2 linked regions of the Rhinolophus ferrumequinum genome follow. The protein of the gene in region 1 purifies or fractionates together with the protein of each later gene. This does not show direct contact. Links are inferred from orthologs where the notes say so. Each region holds a gene or a part of one and is shown in the gene's direction. Other genes may lie near its edges.

What was found.
Region 2: the proteins of ITCH (region 1) and CFLAR purify together in Homo sapiens (affinity purification with western blotting; 8 studies listed by BioGRID). This does not show direct contact. The link is inferred for Rhinolophus ferrumequinum from reciprocal best matches to the Homo sapiens genes ITCH and CFLAR.

The regions. Positions count from the first base shown.
Region 1 is NC_046306.1:20,842,089-20,852,906, reverse strand, and holds the start of ITCH (E3 ubiquitin-protein ligase Itchy homolog), read left to right. Parts: upstream 1-6,281; 5' UTR 6,282-6,443; intron 6,444-6,518; exon of another isoform or gene 6,519-6,629; intron 6,630-10,818. UniProt on the Homo sapiens protein: Acts as an Acts as an E3 ubiquitin-protein ligase which accepts ubiquitin from an E2 ubiquitin-conjugating enzyme in the form of a thioester and then directly transfers the ubiquitin to targeted substrates.
Region 2 is NC_046291.1:30,187,532-30,198,503, reverse strand, and holds the start of CFLAR (CASP8 and FADD-like apoptosis regulator), read left to right. Parts: upstream 1-6,071; 5' UTR 6,072-6,489; intron 6,490-7,463; exon of another isoform or gene 7,464-8,046; intron 8,047-8,209; exon of another isoform or gene 8,210-8,281; intron 8,282-8,356; exon of another isoform or gene 8,357-8,509; intron 8,510-9,116; 5' UTR 9,117-9,154; intron 9,155-10,972. UniProt on the Homo sapiens protein: Apoptosis regulator protein which may function as a crucial link between cell survival and cell death pathways in mammalian cells. Acts as an inhibitor of TNFRSF6 mediated apoptosis.

The DNA.
Region 1 (10,818 bases):
GGCTTGATCTCTTGGTTGGAGAGTGGCAAGGTTCTAGAAGAGCATGAGGGATGGATGAGGTGTCATTGTGATCCTTTTTGAACAATACATTCTGTCACACCAACTAAGGGGGTAACCTGTGGAGTCAGATGCTTGGCTTAGTATCCCAGCTCTACCACTGATGGCTCTGAGTCTCAGTTTTTCTCATCTATAAAATGGGGCTGATAGTAACACTTACTTCATGTGATTGTTGTGAGGATTGAACAAGATAAGGACCCAAAGTGCAGAGTACCTGGCACATGGCTGGTGCTCAGTGGGTATCACTGTTGTTGGGACAGATCACGCTAAGCTCTGACTGGTGTGGTTCACCACAACAGGCTTACCTGTTTGTATGTGTGTCAGGAAGCCTAGAGGTGTGTTCAAAGATGTGTGTGCAGATGGATCCACACGCACGTGCCCACAGGAGCTGAATGAGTGTGTATGTCAGTATGAGTGGGTGTGTAGGTAGGAAATTGGGTGGAGGTCTGGCTGTGTACACGAGAGCATGTGCGGGACTATGGATGTGTGTGAGTGTGTGAGTCAGGAATACGAATGCCTAAGACCAAGTGTGAGTGTGTGTCCACAGAGGTGCACGATTAGTACTGGGCGTGGGTAGATTGAGCCATGAAGGTGTACGAGAGTGTGGGATATAGCCAAGCGTGTGTGTTAGTTTGTGTGTATGTGTGTGCATGAGTGTGTGTATTTTCCAGAAGGTGCCTGTCCATGCTTGATGCTTGAAAAAAATGAGAAAACGTAGAAACAAAGAACCCTTTCAGACCTTCCCAGGGATGTTTGAATCAAATGAACCCCTCGGGACTCTGACCAGCTGGAAAGACGAGGCGAGCCAGGTGGAGGGGCATGGAGAAAGACTTTTCTGAGATTAGTAATCACGCTTGGGCTGGGCGCCAAGGATCCTATTAGAGCCAACTGCTTCCCACACACAGTTGCCTCTTCAGCTTGATGACAGCTTAGCATCTGTGCCCTCCTCCTCCTCCTTATTCCCATTGCAATTAGTAGATAATTTGTTCATTCATTCAAATATTTATTGAGTACCTACTATGGGCCAGGCACTATGCTAGAGGCCAGGGATACAGCAGTGAAATATAGCCTCCACCTTGGAGGAGCTAATGTCCTAGTGGGGGACATTATACACATAAACACACATATCAGGAACAAATATAACGTCAGGTGGTAACGAGTGCCACGAAGAGAAATAAAAGGATGGGGTTGACGGGAGACGGGAGTTACTCTAGAGAGGACGTCAGAGAGGCTTCTCTGAGGGCAGAGAACATAGAATGTCTGGGGAAAACGTCTGCGGCGGAGGGAACAGCAAGCATGAAGACCTTTAGGTGAGAGTGTACCTGGCACATTCCAGGAATGACAAAGAGACCTTGAGGCTGCAGTGAAATGAAGTGGGGGCAAAAAGGAGGAAATGGGACCAGAAAGCCACCAGGAGTTGGAGGAGCATGAGCTTTTGCAGGCTTTGTTTCCTTTCCCTTCTCCACTACCCTTCTGAGCTCGTTTCCTGGGGCTGCTATAACAAATTACCGTGGACTGATGGTGGGAAACAACAGAAATGTAGTCTCTCACAGTTACGGAGACCAGAAGTCCAAAATCAAGGTGTCAACAGGGCCACACTCCCTCTCAAGGCTCTAGGGGAGAATCCTTCTTGCCTCTTCCAGCTCTTGGTGGCTCCAGGAGTTTACGGGTTTGTGGCTGCATCACTTTAATCTCTGCCTCTGTCTTCACATGGTCTTCTCCCTCTTTCCTCTTTTTGTCTCTTCTGAGGATACTGGTAATTGTGTTTTTAGGGCCCACCCAGATAAACTCATCTCAAGTTCCTTAATTGCGTCAAGACCTTTTTCCCATTAAGGTCACAATCACAGGTTCTGGAGTTAGGACATGGATGTATCTTTTGGGGGCCACCATTCCACACACTACACTTCATTTTTTCAGGATCTAAGGCAGAACCAAATGGGGCTTCTCTGGGTTTCAGTTTCTACCTTTGTAAAAAGGACAATAAAAAAGTCTCCTAGAGTTGTCAAGAGGGAAAGATGAAATCATGAATGTAAATTGCTTTCTCTAGTGCCCCTCATATAAGGGGTGCTCAATTTTGAATTGTTGTTATTTCAGGGCTGTCCCTATGATATTAGTCACTGTATCAAGTTTCTTGAGCTTCTTTTGAGTACAGAGCCTCTACTAGGCACCATGGGAGTGAAAAGGAAGGGGCAGGCCCAGCATCAGATCCCCCTCCTGTGGCTGCTGTGGTTGGCAAAGGGTACCTGCCACCCTCACCCTTGGTGACAGTTAATTTTATGTGTGACCTTGACAGGGCCACGAGGTACCCAGATTAAACTTTATTTCCGGGTGTGTCTGTGAGTGTGTTTCTGGGTGAGATTAGCATTTGAATCAGTGGACTCTGTAAAGCAGGTTGTCCTCCCCCTGTGCGTGTGCGTGGGCCTCATTCAATCCACTGAGGGCCTGAATAGAACAAAAGGCAGAGAAAGGGAGGATTCATTCTCTTCCCGACTGCTTGCTAGAGCTGGACATTGATCTTCTCCTGCCCTTGGCCTAAATGACACCACCAGTTTTTCTGGGTCTCCAGCTTGCAGGTGACAGATGCTGGGACTTCTTCGTCTCCGTAGTCACGTGAGCCAGTTCCTCAAAATAAGTGTCTCTCTCTTTTTCTCTCTCTCAACAAAGATGAATCTCAGATAACACGTTGCGTGAAAGAAGCCAAACATAAAAGAGCACATGCTGTGTAATTCCACTTGCATGAAGTTCGAAAACAGGCAAAACAAATTTATATGTATAGAAAGCAGAATAGCAGTTACTTTGGCTGGGAGGCTGGGGACTCTCGACTCGGAAGGGGCATGAAGGAGCCTTCGAGTGGTCTGGAAATAAGGCGGGTAGAGGTTACATGGGTTTAACAAATGTAAAAATGCATGAAGCTGGACACATAGGGCAAGTACATATGTTATATCTCGACCGAAACATTAATAAGTCTGTCAGTGCCAAGTATTGATGAGGATGAGGAGCGCCAGGACTTGTCATGCTTTGTTGACAGGGGAGGAGTAAATGTGTAAAATCACTTTGGGGAGCCATGAGGCCACAACTCGCAAAGTTGAAGTTGTGCATGCCCTTTGACTCCCTGATTCCATTCCCAAGTCTATACATGAGAGAAACTCACATATGTGCACAAGAAGACGTTTACAACACTATTCATTGCATCACTGTTTGTAAATGCAAAATATTAGAAGCAACCCAAAGGTCCATCAACAGGATAATAAGATGTGGTGTACTCATGTAATGTAACCATACGTTGTGGGGACAGAGTCCCAGAGGGCAGTTTCCAGGCTCGGCCTGGCGTGGGGAGGTGCTGGCTCTGGTAGTGAATGACCATCAACTGTGATTGGTTGGCCATCGGCTGTAACCGGTTAGCCAATTGGCTACTGATGTAACTGCGGGGCTGCATTGATTGGTTGGTTGGTTGGCAGGCAGAGAAGTGAATGGTGGACTGCGGATCCGGTGGCTACTACTGCCTGCGTCTCACCTGGCCGCCAGAGAGAATATAGTGGTATGACTCCCGATCTATGGCTCCGTGGGTGTTCCTTTTTGGCCTAGCCATATCCTGCGTTCTTATGTGGGGAACAGGACCAGAGGCCCCGCAGACCGCCCTGCAGGCTGCCCCGCAGGACATACGTACCAGGAGGGTTAGAGAGGAGAGGTAAGAGAATTATAGGTAGTAGATCTAGGAGGGCCTCCGAGATCAATTCCATGTTCTATTTTAGACACAATGAAACTGAGCCCCAGAGAGGTTGACTGATTTGCCTAAAGTCACACAGCAAATTAATGGACAAATCGGGTTAGGCCTAGCCTTTCTCCCAATCCAGGACTCATCTCTACGGATAGAAAAGGACATTAATTTTAATCCCTGCTTAGGAAGCTTCCTTGGGAGATACTGGCACAAACATGGGGAGGTAAGTGTAGCCATGTTTTGGGTGTCCTGTGATCAGCTCAGGGCCTGGTTGCCCCGTCACAAATCTCATGGCACCTTTACCAACTCTCTGAGACCCTCAGCAGATGTTGCCAGCAAAGGGACAGAGTGAAGACATTGGCACCAGGCTTTTCCACTAAGACTTTCAGCCCATTGGGATCTAAGCTCAATGCCTGCCTCCGCCCCACCCTCGCCCTGCCTCTAGCCACTCCCACGCTTAATCAGACCATCACCCCTTGCTGCTCCAGGTTTCCTGATCCCAGCCTCTCCCACATCGGTGGGATAGTTCCTCTGTGGTCTCTGAACCTCTTTTCTCATATACTTCTTGAACGTCTGAGAGTGTTTCCTTCATTCAGGGCCTCTGTACGAGAGTAAATGCGGGGCCCTGACTCGAGGGTGACTTCACTTAGAGGAAAGGAGCTTTGTAAAATTTGTCCCGGGAGATACCCTAATCTTCACAAAGGCTTTTCTGGTGGTCTCATATCCCCTCCTGAGCCCTTGGAAGCAGAGGCCCCTAGTTTCCTGACAACCCCGTGCATCCCAGAACCTTCTCCAGTCCCCAGTGCTCCTTGCATATTGTTGCTTATAGTGGGTGTTGATCATCCCTTTTGGACATCTAGCAACTGAACTCCTTTGCTATATTTGGGGAGAATCCCCTATGAGACAGAGCCCTCCTTCAATACTAGAAACTACAAATGCCACCTTTGCTGCTAGGGTAACGTCATGTGACCTAGGCTCCACTGATCAGACACTCATAGGTCCACAAAGACTCTATGTGGGGGCAGCCATGTCTGGACTGTTGGTGACACCAGTGTTCTGTTCATAGGGCTACTTCTGGCCTGTGCTACGGGGCACTAATCTTGACTAGGTAACCTCCAAGCCTGGTCCTTTATACATCCAGGAGATTCTGTATTATCCATTATCTTTTCATAAATAATTTTTCAGCTAAATTAGCCATAATTCTTTTTGTGGTTGCTCTTAACCCAAACTATCCTGATTGATACACTCTTCCTTTTCACATCAAAACCTCAGCTCTTTTGGGGTTCATGCTATTCAATTACATTCCCCTCTATCCTGCTTTGCTGTCTACCAATCTCCCCTTCATTCACTGAGGATTTTGCTCCCTGCCCCACACTCTCCCTCTCCCTCCTAAGTCCTGCCATCTCCCTGGGCAACTTCATTTTATATGAGGTTAACCCATCTTACACCTTGACAGCCTGATTCCTCATCCTCCTGATTGTCCATGGCCTTCACCTCCACTTCATATCAGCCACCTATTCCAATGGCCACATCCTAGACCTAGTCAGCCTGCTCATACTAGTAAGAATGTTGATTGCAAATACCATAAACCCCAACTAAAATGGGCTTAACAATAGAGGGATGCTATTATCTCATGTAACAAGAACCTAGCGATAGGGTGGCTCCAGGGCACATTAATTCAGTGGCAGCCCTGTGGCTTCATCAAGGACCTAAGTTCGTCCTTTCTCTCCATTCTGCTGTCCTCAGGTATTGGCTATCGTCAGACTGGCTCCCCATGCTCACAAGATGGCGACCACAGGCCCAAATATCACATCCTTATGACAATGTTCAGGGGCAGAAGAAAAGGACCTTCTCTTCCTTCTGTCCCTTTTTAGGATGAAAGGAAAACTTTGCTAGGTGTGCTCTCCCCCTCCCACTCCTAGCACTTGACATAAACTTCCCCAGTGACCAGAATTGTGTCACCTACTCATGCGTAAACTAAATGCTGGTGTATCAGCAAGAATTAGATTTAGGTGCATAGAATAGAAAAGAAAAAGTAAATGTGGCTTAAAAAAGAACTAAGTATATCGTTTACAAAGAGTTTGGAGGTAGACTGGAGGTAGGCTGTCTAGGACTGTTATGGCAGCTTCATGATATCATCAGAAACTCAGAAGCTCATCTTTCCACTCTACCATTCTCATCATAAAAGTGTGGCTTCCATCATTAAGGTCATCTCAAGAGGGCTGCTTGAATTTCAGTCATTGCATCATCTTTCTAGGCAGTAGAAAAGAAGAAGAAAGGTATGACACCACCGCCTCCCAAATATCACAGAAATCACCACAACACCTTACAGCTTACATTCCACTGGCCAGACTCAATCGTATGGCCACAGCCAGTTAAAAAGGATTCTGGAAAACATAGTCTTTTACTTTAAGAAGCGAGGTGCCTGGATAAATATTTATTGCCATAAAAGTTTCTTACCCAAACTTTTTTTCTTTGGGCTCCTAGGAAGCCAGGGGGGAAAGATTTCATGATTTGGAGTCAGACACATTTGGACTTGAATCCTTCATCTGGCTAAGTCAGTTGAACTGTCGGAACCTCTGTTTCCTCAACTGTAAAGTGGAGATAGTCAAAGTATTACTGAAGAATGCTCTTGGTTGCAAGCAGTAGAGAACTTGACCAATAGTAGGTAAGGAAACTTCTTTATCTTACAGGCAGTCACAACACAGGAAGCTGTTTGTGTTGTTTCACTGGTTTGATGATGTCACGGCCCGTGTCTCTGTGATTCTCTTGGCCTTTTCCTCATGTCGTGGCCTCATGGAATATGTTGTTCCAGGGATGACATTATGTTTGTGTTCCAGGCAGAAGAAGAAAGGTATAGGAATGAAGTGTCTCTTCTTTTCTCAGGAAAGCCAGCGTGTTCCCCGAAGTCTCTTCTGTCTCATTGACCAGAACTATATCATAGCTGCAAGTTAGCTAGAGAGGAATGTGTTGATGAACTCAGCCACTAACCAACAGTGTCTACATACACATCTACCTCTCAGGGTGATATGAGGATTAAAAGAACATAGTGCCACCAGAATAGCTAAACTTTAATAAAAGACTGATAATATCGAATGTTGATGAGGATGTGGAGCAATTAGAACTCTCATACGTTGCTGGTAAGAGAATAAATTGGTACAAGTCCTATGGAAAACTATTTGGCAATACATACTAAAGCTAAACATAAGCCTCCCTTATGATTCAGAAACACTCCTAGGCTCATATCCCCAAGAGCAGTGAATACATATGTCTACTAAAAGACATGTACATGAGTGTTCACAGCAGCCTTTTTCATTGAAAACAACCCAAATACTCATCAGCAGCAGAATAGAAAAATTGTGGCCTATTCATACAATGGAACACTACATGACAAAAAAGAGGAGGAAACAGAGGAGGAGAGGGAGAAGCTACTAATTCCTGCAACAACATGACTTGTCCAAAGTCACGCTGCAAAGGCAGGACTCAGTCCCAGATATGGTGACTCCAAATCGTGTGCTTCTTAGAGGAAGCAGGTGGGAGTGTAAATTAGAAAGGCCTTTTTGAGATATCACCTCACCCCAGACAGAATGGCTATCATCAACAAGACAAATAGTGACAAGTGTTGGAGAGGCTGTGGAGAAAAAGGAACCCTCATACACTGTTGGTGGGAATGCAGACTGGTGCAGCCGCTATGGAAGGCAGTGTGGAGGTTCCTCAAAAAATTACGAATAGAATTACCATATGACCCAGCAATCCCTGTCCTTGGTATCTACCAAAAAAATCTGAAAACATTTATACATAAAGACACGTGCACTCCAATGTTCATTGAAGCTTTGTTTACAGTGGCCAAAACATGGAAACAACCAAAATGTCCTTCGATAGATGAATGGATAAAGAAGTTGTGGTATATATACACAAAGGAATACTATTCGGCAGTAAGAAAAGATGATATAGGAACATTTGTGACAACATGGATGGATCTTGAGAGTATAATGCTAAACGATATAAGTCAGGCAGAAAAAGCAGAGAGCCATATGATTTCACTGATATGTGGTATATAAACCAAAAACAACAAAAGAACAAGACAAACAAATGAGAAACAAAACCTCATAGACACAGACAATAGTTTAGTGGTTACCAGAGGGTAAGGGGGGTGGGGGGTGGGAGACGAGGGTAAGCGGGATCAAATATATGGTGATGGAAGGAGAACGGATTCTGGGTGGTGAACACACAATGGGATTTATAGATGATATAATACAGAATTGTACACCTGAAATCTATGTAATTTTACTAACAATTATCACCCCAATAAATTTAAAAAAAAAATTGAAAAAAAAAAGCTTTTTGAGGGAGGTTTGGCAGTCTCACAATTGCAAATATAACGGCCTTGGACTCAGCAATTTCACCATCACAACCAACCCTAGGAAGGATACCCGTTCGGACATGAAGAGGCATGTGCAAGGATGTTCACTTCAGCATTGTTTGTAATGGGGGAAAATTAGAAACAACCTACATATCCACCAACAGGGTAATTAGTTAGACTATTCCCTTTAGGAAGGCACTGAGAAGTGCGGTGGTTAAAAGTGTGGCCTTTCCGTTCAAATCCTGCTTCATTCATTCGGTTAAAATATTTAACCTCTCCAGGCCTTACTTTCTTTATCCTTAAAATGGAAAGAATGCTAGTGGTCACAGACTGTTGGGTTGAAATGAGATATGCACATGAAGCACAACGGATGGGGCCTGGTACCTCGTGGGCATGTGGGCCTACGTATTTTCACAATATATACACTGTGGAAATACAGGGCAGCAGTTATAAAGAACTAGTAAATTTATATGTACTTGTATAGAAAAGAAATCTCCAATTTATAGGGTGGACGTACAAAAAGCTAGTTGCAGGACACATGATCCCCTTGGAAAGCAAAATGGTTGCTTTCTATATGTTTATGCCACAAATACATAAAAACAAGATCTGGCGTGATATGCACCGCATTTGTGACAGTGTTACCTCTGAGGCAAAGAAGGCATTTTGCTTTCTTACCCCTGGGCTCTGCCACTTACTAGCTATGTGATTTTAGGCAAGTTATATTGCCTCTCTGTGCCTCAGTTTGACTCGGGATATACTAGGTGCTACCCGATAAATGGTTGTAAGGATTAAATGAGTTAACACACATAAAATACTTAGAATAGTGCCTGTTACACAATGTAAGATAATGTTAGCTATTACTCGTGGAATTAAATTTCTTTTCATTCTTTGGTGCCCTTTCACTGTACTAAATAACCTCTCTGTCTTGGTCAGAAGTGGGGCACAGCCTCCCCCTCCAAATTACTTCAGAGACTTATGCAGAGGGGAAAAAAAGCTTGAAGGCCTGTATTGGAGACACAGGGGTAAGATGAGGACTGCAGGGGAAGGACACGCCTGGGTGGTGGGGGAAGGAGTGGGCTGGAGGAGGGTAGGGAGGGGTGCCATTGGGCCCAGGCTCCAAGAACAGGGCTTAATTACCATATTTCATAAAATTTAAGATCCACCATTGTAATAGGCACAGTTATTTTGTTTTATGTAATACTACATAATTTTTTAAATGCTGCAATTATTTATGACTTGTCATAAGCTGTCACGTGCATCCCAATTTCAAAGATATTAAAAGGCAGACAGATGTGCATTGTAGAATCATTAAAATATGGGTCCCTAGGGCCCTGAAAGGTTATAATGCCTTCACCCCAAGTTTTAGATATCCCATTGAACTATAAAATAAACGTAAGAGGATTTTCTCCCCATAATGATTACTTTGAAGTTTTTTTGGGGAAAATAGTAAATGTCAAATTCCCTAAACCATATCTCATCTCCTTTGTTCCCCTGCATGGGCTGAGTCAGTCTGTTGGGTGACCCAGGCCTGCCCTAGGGAGGAGGGAAGTCACACAACTGAGTTCTTTGAGCCTTTCCCCTGCTCCGAGGGCAGCAGCAGCTGGAAAGGGGCCCAGCTTTATGGGGGAACAATGGTACCAGCCAGCTGTGAGTAAAGCAGGGCTGACTAGCCTGGCCTGACCTAGCCTGGGTCCAAAGAAGTGACCCTTGCACCTAAGGGGTCCACTCCACTTGGGCAAAGGTTTGAGAGATCCAGGGAAACAGGAGAGGAAATCCCTTCAGCGTTCCTGGAGACTGTGACTAACTGTGCATGGAATCCCAGAATCTCTCAGCCAGAGGACCTTGGAGGCCCATGGAATCAATCAAACTACTCCATTGTACAGATAGGAAAATAAAGGCCTCAAAGGGTCTGGAACTTGCCCTAGGTCACACAGTAAGTCAGTGACAAACCTAGAGCCAGAATCCAGGTTCCCTTTGATTCACCAAGTCGACTATCAAGTGACGATTTGTGCAATCTTTTATAAACATGCCCAGTCATATTGCTTTGACAGTATCTGACACATCAGATAAACTGTCTGACCCCACTAATCACTGGAATGAGATGCACAGGATCTCACGTATGAATACCTTCAGGAAAGGGGGACCTGTGGGTACCTGCCTGCCTGTACTCCTTTAAGACAATATTTACTGTGACATAGTAACTGCCTGGGTTCAAAGCCCCCCTGTAATACTTCCCATATTTCTGACCTCAGATAAATTACTTTATCACTTGTGGTAACTAGCCTCCAAGATGGCCCTCAACGATTCTCACCTCCTGGTATTCATACCCTTGTGTAGCCAGTCCCCTCCTGTAATGATTAGGGCTGACCTGTGTAACCAGTCGAATATCGCAGAAATGCCAGTATGACCTCTGAGGCTAGGTCAGAAAAGACATTTCAGCTTCCTGTTTGCTATCTTGGATCACTTGTTCAGAGGGAAGTCAGCTGCCATGTTGTAAGGACACTCAAGCAGCCCAGTGGAGAAATCCATATGGCAAGTAACTGAGACCTTCTTGCCAACTGCTAACTCATCTGCCAGCCATGTGCATGGGCCACTTTGGAATTAGATCCTGCAGCCCTAGTCAAGCTTAAAGATGACGACAGCCCTGGTTGACATCTTGGCTGGAACCTCATGAGATGCC
Region 2 (10,972 bases), on another chromosome or scaffold:
TAAAAGAAACATTTTGAAAATACTGACGAGGAAGTTTCCCCAAAGAAATAGCTCAGCTAGATTGTCCACTGAGATGCTTAGAATGGATTAGACCCACTTAGGAACTCAGAGCTTCCCATCTACTTTTATTTGCCTGTTTGATTTAAAATCAACTTTATCATTGTGTAATTTACATAAATAAATAACTCATTTTAGGTGTACAATTCAGTAACTTTTTTTTTTTTTAATTGGGAAACAGTGTGTTTTTCCAGGACCCATCAGCTCCAAGTCAAGTCGTTGTTTTTCAACCTAGTTGTGGAGGGCACAGCTCACTGGCCCATGTGGGAATCGCCAGTGACCTTGGTATTAATAATGAGCATTGCACTCTAACCAACTGAGCCACCAGGCCGCCCTCAGTTCAGTAATTTTTGAGAAATGCATCCTCCTATGTAACTACCATCTAATCAATACATAGAATATTTCCATCACTCCAAAATTTTCCTCATGCCCCTTGATAATTAACATTTCTCCTTGCGGGCCACCACTGATGTACCCTCTGTCGCTACAGATTTGTTTTGTCTGTTCTAAAGTTTTGTGTAAAGTACATACAATATGTACTTTTTGTGTGTCTGAATTCTTTCAATCAGCACAATGTTTTCTTTCCCAATCTTTTGTTATAAAAATGTTCAATTATAAAGCAAAACTGAAAGAATTTTACAGTGAACACCCACATACCTACCACTAGATTATACCATTCAATTTACTACACTTGCTTTAACACATCTTATTTATCCATCTTATTTTCTGATGTATTTGAAAGACATCAGTGTATGTTCCCTAAACACTTTAGCAAGCATATCAGGCATAATTTTCCATGTTATTGCATGAATCAATAGTTAGTTCTCTTTTACTGTTAAGCAATATTCCATTTATGGAAAAAGGAAAACAAAAAGAATAAGGTTTGTTTTCATTCATAAACAATGCAAAAACAGCCAAAAACTAAGCTATACTGCTTAGAGATGCATACATAAGTGGTAAAACGTTTAAAGTATTTTGTTGAGAACTTTTGCATCTATATACATGACATATTGGTTCGTGGTTTTCTTTGGCAGTGATATCTTTGTCTGGTCTTGGTATCATGGTAATAAGGCCTCATAAGCTGAGTTGGAAAGTGTTCCCTCCTTTTTCTGGGCTGAATTTTGTCCACCACCTTTACCCCCCAATTCATATGTTGAAGCCCTAACTCCCAGTACCTCAGAATGTTACTATATTCAGAGATAAGAAAAAGGGGTGATGAAGTTAAAATGAGGCGATTAGGATGGGCTTTAATACAATCTGATTGGTATCCCTACAAGAAGAGAATATTTGAACAGATAGAAAGACACTAAAGAAGTGTGTATACAGAGGAAAGAACATGAGAAGACACAGAAGGCTGTCATTTGCAAGCCAAGGAAAGAGGCCTCAGAAGAAACCAAACTTGCCAACATCTTGATTTTGGACTTCTAGCCTCCACAACTGTGAGAAATAAGTTTCTGTTGTTTAAGCTACCTAGTCTATGGTATTTTGTTATGGCAACCCTAGCAAACTAATACACTCCTCTTCTGTTATTTGGAAGAGTTTATGAAGAATTAGATTTAATTTTCCTTAAATGTTTTGTAGAATTCACAAGTTAATCTGTCTAGGTCTGGGCTTTATTTTTGGGTAGATTTTCAATAACTTATGCAATCTTTTCACTTTTCATAGATCGTTCGTATTGTCTATTTATTCTTGAGTCAGTTTTGGTAGTTAGTGTCTCTCTAGGGATTGGTCCATTTCATCTAGGTTATTTAAATTGTTGGTGTACAATTATTCATAGTGTTCCTTTATAAGCCTTTTTATTCTGTAGGATCAGTAGTAATATCCCCTCTTTCATTTCTGATTCAGTAATTTGAGTCTTTTTCTCCTCCTTGGTCAATCTAGCTAAAGATTTGTCAATTTTGTTCACCTTTTCAAAAAAATTGGCTTTAGGTTTAATTGACTTTCCCTATTGTTTTTCTATTCTATATTTTATTAATTTCTACTTTAAATCTTTATTATTTCTTTCCTTCTGCTTGCTTTAAGTTTAGTTTGTTCTTTTTCTAGTGTCTTACTTAAGGTGGAAGATTAGGTTATCAATTTGAGATTCTTCTTTTTGCTTAGTAGAGGCATTTATAGTTATAAATTTCTTTCTACGCAGTGCTCTAGTTGCACCCCATAAGTTTTGGTATGTTGCACTTGATTTTCATTCATCTCAAAGTATTTTCAGGTTTTTCTTATGACTTCTTTGACACAGTGGTTACTTAGGAGTGTGTTGTTTTATTTCCACATATTTGTGAGTTTTACCAATCTTTCCTGTTATTGACTTCTATTTAATTCTGTTGTAGTCAGAGAACATACTTTACATTGTTTTTATCCCTTTAAATTTATTGAGGTTTGTTTTATGGCCTACCAGTTGGTCTATCTTGGAGAATGTTCCATTGTGCACTTCACTGTGTATATTCATGTATAATTGATAATGTATATTCTGTTGTGTGGAGCATTCTACAGCTGTGAGTTAGGTCTAGTTGTTTTATAGTGTTGCTCAAGCATTCTGTTTCTTTGTGGATTGTTTAGTTGTTCTATCCATTATTGAAAATGGAGTGTCTAAGTTTCCAGCTATTATTGTGAAAATAATTTCCCCTTTATTTCTCCCAGCTTTGCTTCATGTATTTTGATGTTTTGTTATTAAATTCTTGTATGTTTATAATGATTATATTTATCTGATGGATCGACACTTTTATTGTAATAAGATGTCCCTCTGTACCTCTAGTAATATTTTTTGTTTTAAATTCTATGCTGCCTGATATCAATATGGCCACTCCATCTCTCTTGTTGTTGCTGTTTGCATGTTATATCTTTTTGCATATTTTTATTTTCAATCCCTTTGTATCTCTGAATTGAAAGTGTCTCCTGTAGGCAGTTATAATTGGATCATAGGTTTTTGTTTTTTTTAAATCCAGTCGAACAAGTTTCCCTTTTCATTGGATTATTTAGCTCATTTTCATTTAAGATTGTTGATATAGTTGGACTTGCATGTGCCATTTTACATTTTTCTATATGTCTTATGTGTTTTTCTCTACATTAAAAGTTTTCTTTTACATTAAGCGAATATTTTCTAAGGTATCATCTTAATTTCTTTAATATTTTTTACTATATATTTTTGAGTTATTATTTTAATAATTGCTCTAGGGTTTACCATATACATCTTAACTTATCAGAAGCAACTTCAGATTTATACTAGCCAGTTCCAGTAGTACAAGGAAATATTACTCCTAGATGGCTCTATTCCCTTTTCCCCCCATTTGTGGTATTTTGTATATATATTACATTAATGCATGTTACACACCGAACAATAGATTGTTGTAATTATTACTTTGCCAGCTATAGTCATTTAACTTTGCTCCCACCCACCTGTTTTGTGTTGGGAAATATATTTCACATATATTAATTTCTATATGTTATAGGCACAAAAATATATTATATCATTTTATACAATTGCTTTTTAAATCAGTTAAGAATAAGAGAAAAATATTCATTTATACTGTCTTGTAATTGTAGAATTACCTTTTCTGTTGCCCTTTTTTTTGGTGAGCATTTGATTTATTGTCTGGGGTTATTTGCTTTCAGCTTGAAGAATTTCCTTTAGTATTTCTTACAAGGTAGCTATATTAGCACAAATTATTTCAGTTTTTGTTTATTTGGGAAAGTATTTCACAAATCTTATTTTCATAAATTTGTTTTGCTTGGTTGAAAATTTTTTTTTTCTTCGAGCACTTTGAATATGTTATCTCATTGCTTTCTGACCTCTATATTGATTTTGCTGAGAAGTCAGCTATTAATCTTATTGCTATTCACTTAAAGTAATAAGTTGTTTTTCTCTTGCTGCTTTTAAGATTTCTTCCTTGTCTTTGACTTTCAGCATTTTTACTATAATGTGTCTGTAGATCTCTTTGCATTTAGTTTATTTGGAATTTGTGAAACTTCTTGGATGTGTAATTTACTGTTTTTCAATAAATTTTAGAAGTTTTTAGCCATTATGTCTTTGAATATTTTTTCTGCTGCATTTTCATGCTCTTCTCCTTCTGACACTCTCATTATGTACATGTTGGTGTGCTTCATGGTGTCCCACATTTCTCTGAGGCTTTCTTCATTTTTCTCTGTTCTTTGGCCTGCATAATCTCTATCTTAAAGTTAGCTTATTTTTCTCCTGCCATTTCAAGTCTATTGATGAGTTCCTAATGAATTTATTTCAGTTATTGTACTTTTCAACTCGAGAATTTCTATTTGGTTCATTTTTATAATTTCTCAGTCACATGCCTGCTCTAGGTTCTTAATATTTTTTATTGATATTCTCTATTTGATGTGACGTTATCAGACCTTCTGTTTCTTCTTTAATCATGCTTTTCTTTAGTTCTGTGAACATGTTTATAACAACTACTATGAATTCTTTTTCTGATAAGTCCAACATCCGGTTGCTCTCACAAGCAGTTTCTGTTGCCTGCTATTTTTCCAGTGTATGGGTTTCCTGTTTACTTGCATGCCTTGTAACTTTTTGTTGAATACTGAACATTTTAGATAATATATTGTAGCAACTCTAGGTACTTGTTTCCTCCCATTCCCCAAGCCTCACTTTGTTGTTTTTTGCTTGTTTATTTGCTAAATTACTTTAGTGAAGTCTATCCCCACTCCTGTTAAATTTCTGATATTGTTATCCTGTTATTACAGTGGTTTTTGGGTGGAGCTCTCTTCCTTTTATTTCCCGACCACACCCAGCTGTTAAGACTCCACATTTGCTGACTGATTGCTCTACTATTTTTTTTCTTAGAAAATTTTTATAAAAGTTTAGTTAAGCCAAACTGATGACATATGCCAGGGAGCAAGATCTCAAATGCTCCCTGATTGCTCTGTTATTTTCGATAATGTTCTGGCATAATTTGCTCTACAAATGAATCCAACCAAATTGTGGCCCTTTGAAACAATAGTTTATGAGGTGTTTAATGTTTGTTCTTATTCCAGGAGGGCTTTCCCTGTCTTTATCTCTAGCTCTCCATTGCAAACTAGCTAGGTTACAATTTAACCCACACCTTGAAACTCCTCCCAATTGCTTATCATCACAAACTCCAGGTTTTCGAGAATAACCTTTGGCTTGAATTTCAACATGTTGTGTTGCAAATAAAGTCAGTTCCTTTGGGAAGAGTTTAAGACCTATCTGTTTTATGGAGTGCTTTTCCCCCCAGGCACAATCACTGAACTAGGGCTTTGGAGCAACAGGTGGAAAGATATGTTACCGTGTTTCCCTGAAAATAAGACCTAGCCGGACCATCAGCTCTAACGCGTCTTTTGGAGCAAAAATTAATATAAGACCTGGTCTTATTTTACTATAATGTAAGACCAGATATGATACGATATAAGCTAGCTGCCAGCAATCTAATACCAACAGGAGTTCCCAATCTGGAGGGCGGAAAAAGGACACTATTCAAGTTAACAGTTTGCAAACTGTGCAGATGCAGTGCTCAGAAGAAGGGTAAATGCACTCCCCTGGGACGGGGAGGCCTGCCTTTTAAAGAGACAGTGCAAATGAATCCAAATTTGGAGTCTGACTGGTCCAAATAGCACTGGTCGTGTGTTCTGATTGGTTGTTATGAAACCACTCTGATCGGTTAGTATAGATGTAAATGAGGACATAGCTGTGTAGTGTTCCTATTGGAGGGCGCAGGTATCAGCCCATTGGTCCAAATATGATTTTATAAGGGTAGTCTCAAAAGACAGGAACAGTACAGGAAGCTGGCAGCTCAGCCTTTGGTTTTTCTCTGAAACCAGTGCATGAGTGTTCTCTGCCAGCATTCGCTGTTAGACTGATTATGAATTTGAGCCCAGTTAACCAGTAGGAGTCCTTCTTGGTGGGTATGTTCCTTCTCCAAGGTCAATACTCTCTTGGTAGTCTTGCAACTTTCCTGTAAGTTTACATTTATTTCAAGTTAAGTTAAATTTTAAAAAAATCACAAAGTAATAAATAGATGAAAACACAAATAGCTTTCACACTTGCTATTTATTATTATTCGTATACATCAGTAAAAAACACTAACAGTGTTTGTTCGTAACGACAATCAGAACTCCTTTAAACAACCATTCTGGGTTCACAGCATATTTTATGATCTTTATATCACAAAGGATACAAAGATAAAACAGTGGGTTGGCTGTGGCTAGGAGAATGTTTCAACTGAAGGGGACTCATTGGGGGCTGGTAAGTAAGGGGTCTCTGGCCCTAACGCAGTCAGCCCGCCCAACTTTCGTTGTGAAGATAAGTGCACGCGCAAGGCCACGTCGGTAAGCGCAACGTCCGCTTCCAGGCTTTCGGTTTCCTTTCCTACCTTTTACTGCGTTTCTCAAGCTTCCGGGACAGCGAAGCCTGGCAGCTCGCTGCAGGAAGAAAGCCCCACGGTGGACCAGACGGTACGTGTAGGCGCTTAATCCCGCCGCTCCGACCCTCCTCAGTCCTAGAGGTCTCATTGCAGGTTTCCGTGTCTGTGTCGCCGCAGGGCCTGAGCGCCGCCTCTCCCGTCCCTCGCCGCAGCTCCCCGACCTGCACTTTCCGGGAACTGGCCCTGGGCGGGGGCTCCCCGGCAAGGGTCCGGGATGGGGGGGTGGGTCTTCTGACAGGTGACTCAGTTCAGTAGCTTCCTTATACATGGTTTGCCCACGAGCGCCCGCTGGGGCGGAGCCCCCGTCCCCGCACGCACCCCCGCACCCACCTCCTTGCCCCGCTCTCCTTGCACCGGGATTCCCAAGAGGGCTGTCAGAGGCTGCCCGGATCCCAAGTGCGGTCCTCGGTGCGCCCGGATCCACCGGTCCAAATAACCCTTAGCAGAAACAAGCTTCGGTGGCAGGTCGCGAGCATCCTGTAAACTTTGCTTAAGATCATCTTGAGAGTTACTTCCTGGGGTGAACTGTTCAAAACATTTGGCAGTTTTCCTTTTAAAAAGTTGATGAAAAAGAGGACTTTTTCCTGCGCAATGTGTGTGCACGCTCGCCTTTACCCGGCAGAGGCAGCCGCCGGGCGGGACATTTCACTCGCTTGGTGAAGTAGGTAGGGCGGGATATGCCTCAAAGCATTTTAATATAGTATTTTTTGGCAAGTTGCAAGGAAAGCTTGCTGTGGGAAAGTCAGAATGACTGACTGATACATTTATAGAAAGCCTTAAAAAAACCCAATACTTGTTCCGGACTCTCCTCTCTTCCCCTCCAAGAGGACTAGGAAATAAATATAAAGTGTTTTCAAGATGTTGCTGGATGGTGACGGGGTTTTAAAATGTTAACAGTGGATTGCAATAGAACAAAGGGCATTGAAATTCAGACCAAGTTTTTGGTTCAAGGCAACAAGAAGTTCAAGGACGTTGAAGGTCTGGCGAATGTTTTTATTTGTTGACATTTTAAACTTGTTTACGCAACCGAGAGGTGGTGCCAGTAAGGTGATAGCATACTTGAAGTATTTGAACACAGACAAACCCGGATGGATAGTGAAGTCAGTTTGGGCCCTTCCGGTAAGAGATTCAGATAAGAGGAACAGAACTTTTGGTATTTTCCGATTTGTGGTTCCTCTAATCTTACCAAAAAAGTCTCGTTGAGAGGAGGAGCAAAAAAAACTTGGCTCAACTCCAACAAAACAAAACAAAAGACTCGAGCTTGGAAGGGAATATTGAATGTGGCCAACAGACGTTTTTTTATTTTAACCCTTGTTTTACTTACAGCTTCTGGGTTGGAGGTCCTGATTAAAATGGCTTTTTCTAACGACTGTGTTTTACATTTTGTTTGTAACTGACATTTGCACTTCCTTTAACTATCTTTACTCCCTACTTTTCACCCGCTTTCTTAGGTGGATCCACCGGCAGGTCTGCAGGAACTGGGTGCCCCTTGTCTTCTGCCCCCTTGGGAGTCTTGTGCGACTGGGGGCGTTGGGAGGATAGTCGCGGGTAGTGTGTTGTTGTTTATTAATAGCGGTGGCGGTAAGTACTGGAAACAAAACGAAGGTGTTTTTGTTACTAGGACGCCCACCGGTCATGCACTCGCTCTGTGAGGTAGTGGGGCAAGCAGCGCCCACTCAGTTACCGCCCGCTGCAGGGAATTTCCTGGAGCTACACGTAGCTCCCTTGCCCGTCCAAGGGCGTTTACTCACCGAAGACACAAGAGTGTGTGCACTGATGAAGTTTTTAAGGTACGGGCGGAGGGTTCTCAAACCTGAAGTGTCAGGTGAGCAGCGCGTCCCTGGAGGAGGCTTTTAGTATTGGAACTCTGCCCTAAGAGGCTTCGGGACGCCTCCCTGCAAACCAGCCTCTGACGCTACGTTCAGTTCCTTGTCCTGTTTGGAGAATTTCCAACTCCGGTTTTTCGGAGTGGTGGGTCTGATCGTATCCCGCATCGGTGGGGCGCCTTTGCAGGTGGAGATCCAGCTGGAAGAGCCGGCAGCTGCCCCGGCGTGAGTAGACCTAGAACCTTGTTTACTCCTCTTCTTCTTGTGCTGACGTCACCCTGAACTCCGGGGCTGTCGGGGCATTGTCCCCCGGTATAAAAGGATTGAGTCTCTCTCTTTTAGCCCTTTGGCGCTTCCTTGACTCTCATAGGGACTCATCCACAGCGCTCCTAGTAACCTGGCGTGTAGCTTTTTAAATTTTTCGGATTGGACTCCATTTGGTTATTTGTTCCTTGTAGGGCCCCAAAAGCTAATTAAACTCGCATTATGTACTGAAATGCCTCCTTTTCTTTAATTCAAGATAATCCTACCAATATTTATTTAGCTTCTCTGGGTCAGGCAGAGTTCTGGGTGTGAGAACACAGGCATAGATCTGAACTTGGTTCCTTGCGCCTGCTGGAAGCTCACAGAGTGGTTGGGGAGACCTACGCAGATAACTTGCCACGGACAGACTGGAACGGGAAGGAAGAAACCAGTTGGGCCAGACTGGGGAAATAATGGCAGGTCACAGAGCTGTCAACGTGTACTGTCACTTGGTCCTTGCTTTCTTTACTATAAATCAGTGAGGCAAGAAACACTTATTATTGATATGCCCTATTTCATTTACATTCAGCTCCTGTCACCTTCTCTAGGAAGACTTCACAATTCACGGTGGGTTCCTTTACTCTATGCTTGCATATACTCAGTGGCTATTTTTGCACTTACCATAGGATTGCACTTAACACACTGTATTGGCATACTTTTTCTTCAAAAACTTTTCAAATTGTATTATAATTATCGGAGTTAAAATACATTCAAAGTAAATAGAGAAAGCCCCTAGGAGTCCATTATCTAAGATAACCAAAGGTTGCTGTTTAGTGTCTTTTTCAGAAATGTATGCACTCAAATACAGTCTTTTAAATGTCTTTAAAAAATATATGTTTTGCTTTATTTTGTATGGTGCTGTTTCTCCAACTGTATTTCAGAACTACTGTTTTGTGTTTTTTTTCTGTTAATACTCTGCTTTTCCCACGTGTAATTTCCCTCTCCTCTGGCATCAGTGTTTCTAATGAAAGATTTTTTCTTCTGACTACTTTTCTTGTTTTTTAAGAATGTGTATCAACAATTTACATTTCATGAATCTGCTTGTTCAGATGTCCGAATGTTTTTCCTCCCTCCTCAATTCTGCATTTAGAGAACTAATTTCTTCTTTCATCCCATCCACATACAAATTTATGTAATATATAACATATACCTATATTCTTGAATCTTTACAGATAAAACTCTGCTTTTCACCACTTTGTACCTTGTTCTGTACGTCTGTTTCTTTGATGGTCTCCACTTTAGGCCACGTAAGTTCTTTTGGCTGCTTAAGTTGTTTATTTGACCATTTAAGTTCTTGTGCAAAACAGACAAAAAACTTCTTTATTTTTCTCTTATTTTAGATATTGAGTTTTCATCTTTAGCAATTCAGTACTTATGAAAGAACTAATCTCCACCAATTTGATACCTAATTTACCTGCATATTCAAGATATGCAGTGAACTCTTCAATTGGAGAAATTAACCCATTGTTATTTATATACCTCAGTTTTACAATGTAATTGAAAAAATTCTTATAGCTACTGGCTCCAAGGTTTCAAATGTTTCCCAGCCTAATGACTTCCTTTTAACATCTGATTTTACAAGTAAGAACTAAAGCTTCTTTATCTACCTGTGAATTCTTAAATTTTTTTCTTTAAAAAAGTTATCAATTACAGTTGACATACATTGAATTTTTTCTTGAACTTCCTTTGGATCTTCCCTTTGGCATGTGTGTGTATATATATATATATATATATATATATATATATATATATATATGTATGTATGTATTTTTTTTTTTTTACTTGAGGCTTTCAAAAATAGTTTTTAAAGTTAATGATCTTTGTCTTAAAGAGTAGGCAAGAGACAGATACTGCTTAAACTCAGACAACTTGGCCTGTTTTGTTTTGTTTTGTTTTCCCAAGGAAATTAAAGCCTCATAGTAAATTGATGAATGCAGTAAATGTCACACATTCTCTGGCTTTTTTGTAATAATGTGAGTGAATACAGCAATAGCTCATGGCAGATTAGCTGAGTATTAAACTTATCTCATGCAAGGTATTAGTAATTTTTAATTTTTTAATTGGGGAATATTGGGGAACAGTGTGTTTTTCCCGGGCCCATTAGCTCCAAGTCAAGTCTTTATCCTTCAGTCTAGTTGTGGAGGGCACAGCTCACTGGACCATGTGGGAATCGAACTGGCAACCCTGTTGTTAAGAGCTCGTGCTCTAACCAACTGAGCCATCCGGCCGCCCCAAGGTATTAGTAATTTTGAGGATATAAAATTACTAATTAATAATTAGTAATTTTGAGATGACTGTCCTATTTGAGGAAAAAATACTTTACATTTTAGGCATTTTTGAGTTTATTCTAGGAGAATTAATTACATCTACAGAGGACTGGTCTGG